Regions from separate parts of the Mus musculus genome. Here region 1 is reported to be linked to region 2. Evidence: microRNA targets listed by miRTarBase, many of them from high-throughput screens and not tested one by one. Region 2 holds a microRNA gene; the other region holds the end of a gene's coding sequence.

Region 1 (3,066 bases), not on the chromosome of region 2:
TCCTTTCACAGCTCTCTCCACGCTAGTGCTCTTTACATTTGTCCTGGAGATTTAGTTACAGGAAATAGTGGCTAAGGCTATGGGGTTTGGTGGTAGTGGTAGTTTGTTTTGTCAATTCCAGAATTTTGTCCATCGTGTAAACCTCTGCCTGTGTTCTTTTAATCTTATGCTGTTTTCCTGTCTCTTCTGTCTCCCTGAGTCTCTTGTTTCTGCTTATTTCTTAAGGTAACTATCATGAGACGATTGTTGGGTAACTTAAGTAATGCAGAGAGCCCCTGTGTACCCTTCCCCTGCTTTCCCATAACGTTGTTTTTTAATGGAAAGTTAAAAATGTTAGTGCCCATAGTGAAACTACATATGTTTAAAATAAACTGTGCAAGAAATTTTACATCCGCTCATTTTTCCCTCTTCTCTCTTTTTCCTTTGACTCTCTTTCCTAGCTGGGTGTCGCTGGTGAGTAAGAACTATGAGATTGAGCGGACGATTGTCCAGCTGGAGAACGAGATCTATCAGATCAAGCAGCAGCACGGGGAGGCCAACAAGGAAAACATCCGCCAAGACTTCTAATGACTCAGGCGACGTGGGCTCCGCAGACTCAGCGGGGACTTTCTCGGAGCGACTGTGGTGGTTACATGGTTAGAGACCATGGACTATGTAAACTGTTGTATTGCTTCTGTGTGAGTGTCTTAGCAAAATAAAGTTGTCAACATGTTGCTGTTTTTATGCTATAAAAACCTGGTTTTCAGAATGAGTATGACTTTAGAATAATTTTGACATATTTTGTAGCAGAATTTTTTTTTTAAGGCTTCAAATTTTGTAATGAAGCTCCTTTATTTTTAAGGCATCCAACATGTTCTGGAAGCTGGAAACCTTGAATTTGTGTTTTTTGTTGAATAAAGTTACAGTTCTAAGCATTTTTATGTGTGGCTATAGTGAACTTTATTGATGGTATTCAAAAGAATGAGGCTCCCTTCTAGGGATCTATGATAGAAATAGGTGTAGTGAGAATTGTGGAATTTTGGATTCTTTTTTAAAAATGCAGAAATATAAGAATATGTTTTGGGCTGGTGAGATGGCTCAGCGGGTAAGAGCACCCGACTGCTCTTCCGAAGGTCCGGAGTTCAAATCCCAGCAACCACATAGTGGCTCACAACCACCCGTAATGAGATCTGATTCCCTCTTCTGGAGTGTCTGAAGACAGCTACAGTGTACTTACATATAATAAATAAATAAATCTTAAAAAAAAAAAGAATATGTTTTCATTTTAATCCCAGGTGTGGGTATATGGGGCTGCTTTGAAGCAACTGATGTGCCTCGTGCTCTAGTAGAGGCATGGTTTGCCAGCTGCAGGTAGTTTCTGCAATTGGGTGACATTTGGGATAATGGAAACTTTTCACAGGGATATAAAGTCTAAGGCCCCAAGAGGCAGTGTTGGTTGTGGTTTGTGAGTAGTCGTGTTCAAAGAAGAAGCAAGAAGAAAAATTAGATTCAAGTCTCTCGCACGCTCTTTCTCACTCACCTTTCCTTCTTTCCTAACTAGTGATAGCGGTGAAGGCCAGAAGGATAAAAGGTGGGAGAAAGAAGAACCCACAAAGTAGCAAAAGCCAGCTGTAGTGGGAGATGCTCAGTGTTGGGGGCTGGGCTGAGTTGGGACAGGGACTCCAGCAGCAGAGGCCTCTGTCTTCCTCTCTGCCCTGCTGGGACGGCTGGGCTGGTTCGGGCCTTCTTACTCCTTGGAGGCCATGAAGGAAGTGAGTTGACAAAGGTGCTGAGGTGACGCAGATCCCGCATCAAAGGTGGGATCATGGAGACAGTCTTGTCCTCAGCCCAGGGTGCCCTTCACGTGTTCACTTTATCGATGTCATCGTATATGGAGCATATGGCTTCTTAGATCCACAATGGACACACTGCGGGATGGAACACAGGCGGCCAAACCAATGTGTTACCCATTTAGCTCTGGGATGAGCATGTCTACACCCTTAGCAGTGCCAGTGGATATAAGGATACTTTAGGCAGTCCTGTGGCCTAAAACATTTATGGTCCTCTGAGTTGTGATGGTTTGAATTGTGATCATAAGTCCCTTGATGGTGCTAGGTGTGGGGGTTAAACAGTTGGTGATGCAAGAGGTGTTACTGACAGTCTTGAGCTAGTCATACTTCTCATGGTTCACACCCATCACAAACATGATCAGCAGAAGGGGCAGAGGTGATGACACTTTCAGCTCCACCCTTCAAGTGGGCTTTGTTCACCATGGTGGTAAAGATGCCAGTAGACTCCATAACATATTCCACACTGTCATCACCTCATTTGATGGTGGAGTGTCACTGCGGGAAGGTGGAAATGGCCTTCCCTTTGAGTTTCCCATCCTGAGCCTTGATTGCTGTGGAGTATGCCATGGCTAGAACTGCACTGGAACACCTTGTCTTTGTAGTCAATGAGAGGTCATTCATGGCAACAGTATCCACTTTACCAAGAGGTGAAGGCAGCCAGGAGCCCTGCATAGCCAAAGCCAGTCACTCAGACCTTCATGGTGTCTCAGACTGGACTGGACTACGCAAGAAAATGCTGCTGTCTCTGATGGAGTGTTTTAATTAATGTTGGATTGTCAGAAGTTGTGAAGTGAGGCTGCAGTGACCTCTTGATAGTATGGATTATTCAGACCCTGGAATTGGTTTGTGGTATTGTCAGGTCCCAAAGGAAACTCCAGTTCCTGGAACTGCAAGAGGCAGTGCAAGTGTCCAGCAGCGACAGTCCTGACTTCCCTCAAGCTTAACTTCAGAGCGGTTGTTGGCAGTTAGGTAAAAACCAGCATTTCTCAGGAATGTGTGACACAGGCTCAGCCAAGACTGCATTTCCCTTACCTCTGACAGAAGGGACATATGGCTCTTCATTTGACATATACCTGTGGCCGCATATCAAAGCCCATGCTGGCCTCCAGGCCCCTCAGTCCCTGTTCATACATAGTTGTTATATACCTCAGGATCCATGCTGGACTTCCTCCCTCACTACCTCCTCTACCCTAAGCTCCCTCCCCCAGCTGCTGGTCATCCTTACGTTTCCATTCCC
Region 2 (3,000 bases):
CAGACAGGGATACAAGAGGCAAAATGTCACCACCCTCTTGACCTTGTAAAGAGGTGTCCAAAACTACAAGAACCGTCTACAGAGACAACTCCTTCTAACTGCCACAGATCCTGATTGACTCGTTCGGCCGTTTGCATCAAATACGTAGAAGCCTCCTTCCCTGGCCCCTAGGCCACCCGGTCATTAAAAAACACATAATCTCAATTATTTCTTTGCATAGCCGAAGACGTAAAACACATGATTTTGTTGTTTTACATGTAACTCTGGAAGTATTCTACCTTATCTCCCAAGCTGCTTAACAGCTGCCTGATGCTGAAGGTTACTTCATTAATTGCCAAGACCAGCAGCGCTTTGGCACACATGACACAAATGCCCAGCTGAAGCCTAGTGGCGGCTAAATGACCTCAGAAACCTGGACCTGTTCTCCAAGACCGAAGGAGACAAAGGCAGCATAAGACCCTCCGAACTTTGTTCTCTGCAGATGGTACATACAGGGAACAGAATATTTAAAGGCTCCATCCTCCCAAGGTACCCTGAGAACCAGAGAAATGGGAGTGAGGGTTGCAAGTTCAGTGAACTCTTCAGAGTTTCAGCGAGGTAGGAGGTGGCGTCCTGGTGCCTTCACTGAGTCCTGCAACGCTTTTTTCCAACAAGCAATCTTAAGCAGTGCCTTTGATGATATGCAACGCCACCACCAGACCCTACTGGGTTTCTGCTTCAAGGGCAAAATGTCACTCTAAGGACCCTTCGTCCTAGGGATACTCGAACTCTGCCAAAGTTGGTTTTGCAAATAAAATGTTTAATCTACCTGAAGAGAGGTGTGCAAACAGGAACCTCCCTCCAGAGGAGCAGAACAGCTAACTTGCAGTCAACGTGACAAAATTTTCTCTGTATTTCCCCAGGTCACAGGGATCGGTGATTCCCCAGCGTGGGAAACAGCAGTCTAGCCGCGTCACTGACACCAGAACCAGAACAGGGGCTTACCTTGTTGGAGGCCATCTCACTGACGGAGTGCCTGGTCTGCAGGGTCTCTAGCTGGTCCAGACACCAGTCCAGCTCCTCCAGGGTCTCGCTGGCCAGTTTCTGGTAGGCCTCCTCTGCGAAGAGACAGGGAAAGGAGGACTCAGTTCGTAAGCGCTTCACGGGACCACCAGCGAGTTCAAAGGGGGCCATCCTGCCGTACCCCGCCATGCTCGGATGCCCGGTGCCCGCACATGAGGGCTGCTCCTTCATATTGCAGGGCCCGGCGGCGCGCGGGGGGCTGAGGTTGGACTAGTGGGGCCGGGCTCAGGCTGGCTGAGATGCTCCAGCTTGACGTCGCGGGTCAGCCTCCAGGGAGGGGCGCAAAGTGCTGCAAGGCCAACTTTGGCACGGGGACGGCGGGCGGATTCTCAGTGGCGCGCGAGCACGGGCTTCCCTGCGTTGGGATGCTGCCCCTGGTGGCCGGCTCGGGGGGAGGGGGTGGGAGCAGGGGCTCGCCCCGCAGACCGGCGAGCGGCTCCGGGACGTCCGCGTCCCGCAGCCCCGGGCTCCACGCCGCCGCCTGCCGCGAGCCCCACGCGCGAAGCGAATGAATCAGCTGCGGCCGCCGTTTCCTGTTTTGTCGCTCAAGTCCGCGGGCGGGCGGGCGCAGCGCCGCTCCATGCTGGCTTTCCGGGAACACTCCCCCTTGCGCCCCTCGCGGCCCCGCGGCGCTGTCTGGCTCCCCCGCGACTCCTTACGAAAGGGTTCCGAGTTGCAATAAGCCGTCCGGACCGCCCTCCCCGCCACCTCGCCGCGGCATCGCCCCAAGGCAGCCGGCGCCGCTGCTCTGAAGCGCAGCCCGGAGGGAGGCGCAGCCACGCACGCGTGTATCTGTGTGTTTGTGTGTGTGTGTGTGTGTGTGTGTGTGTGTGTGTGTGTGTGTGTGTGTGTGTATCTGTGTGTGTATCTGTGTGTGTATCTGTGTGTGTATCTGTGTGTGTATCTGTGTGTGTGTGTGCAGCGCTGCTGTGGAGCTGTCTTGCACCAGAGCAGCGGAAAACCCGGCGTGGAGCGCCCGCCGCCTGGGGTCCCCGCGGGGCTCAGGCGGGGCTCGGTTGGCCCCCAGCGCGCAGGCGCGTGCAATCGCGCACCTGCCCCGCGGGGGACCCTGGGGTGCACAGCGGAGTCCCGGGCCCTCTATCCCAGCGCCGCCTGCCAGGCCCTGCTGTCCTGGGTTGCAAGGTGACTTAGGACAGGCACTACCCTTTCTGCATGCAGGTTTAATTTAAGTTTGCGAGTTTCCATGGATTTGTGTCCCAAAGGTTAGGATTTACTTACTCAAAGGGAATTGTGGGAATAAAATCGTCTCTACTGGGGACAGACTGTCAGTATCCAGCCAACCCCTCTAAAATTTGGGTTAGATGTAAACAGACAAACCATAATGTTGTGGGGACAGAATGCCTTAGAATGTGACAACAGGCTACATTTCACCTTCAGAATTACCCTAGAGCTACCTTAAAGGAACAGCAATGGGAACGAACCAAGGAGCAAGGGGAATTTACACATGCCCTGCTGGGGTGTCTCCTCTGCAGAAAACACAAGAACACCCTAGACTTGGGGCTCAAGACAGAAAGTCTAGTAGTCTGTTTTCTGCCCACTATGGACGAAATGGACTGTCAGAACTATGGGGCAATGGGTTCTGCTGATAAAAGCTGACGCAGGGAACTTGGCCACTTTCCCTAAGCCGGTCAGTTCCGAAACTGAACAGCAATCTTATTTCAGAAAGAGAAAAGTTGAAACCCCAGGGGTCTAGCCTACAAAACTGGCAGGAGAAAGGAAAAGCCTTATGTGAAGTGGTGGGGTTCTCCTTTTCCCCTTCTGATCTACAGTATTGTGGGGGAAAGAAGTTCTGCCCCAATGTAGGCTCCATTAATTATCAGGCGGGACAAAGAATGCGGTGGGTTGAATCTCAGGATTCTGAGATTTCCTTACATTTGTAAAAATTTCAGTAACTTTTAGAGTGTGTGAGACTTGCTT

The links. Region 2 holds the annotated microRNA mmu-miR-1904 (GUUCUGCUCCUCUGGAGGGAGG, at 834-855, opposite strand). A microRNA usually pairs through its seed, bases 2 to 8, with sites in the 3' UTR of a target mRNA and lowers its output. Matches are read on the target gene's strand: a 7mer-m8 pairs with bases 2 to 8, a 7mer-A1 pairs with bases 2 to 7 and ends in A, and an 8mer does both.
Region 1: miRTarBase lists Bcas2 as a target of mmu-miR-1904. Seed matches in the 3' UTR shown: 7mer-m8 at 785-791 and 7mer-A1 at 1,039-1,045.

What each region holds. Positions count from the first base shown.
Region 1 is chr3:103,177,915-103,180,980 of GRCm38, forward strand. Bcas2 (breast carcinoma amplified sequence 2) reads left to right here. Exons shown (of 7, transcript NM_026602.4): 7 at 441-1,249. The coding sequence ends at 567. Among named protein-coding and RNA genes, the nearest start is that of Bcas2, 7.8 kb to the left of the region's middle.
Region 2 is chr13:109,901,674-109,904,673 of GRCm38, reverse strand. Mir1904 (microRNA 1904) reads right to left here and starts at 865; the gene lies at 786-865. Pde4d (phosphodiesterase 4D, cAMP specific) reads right to left here. Exons shown (of 17, transcript NM_011056.3): 8 at 985-1,097.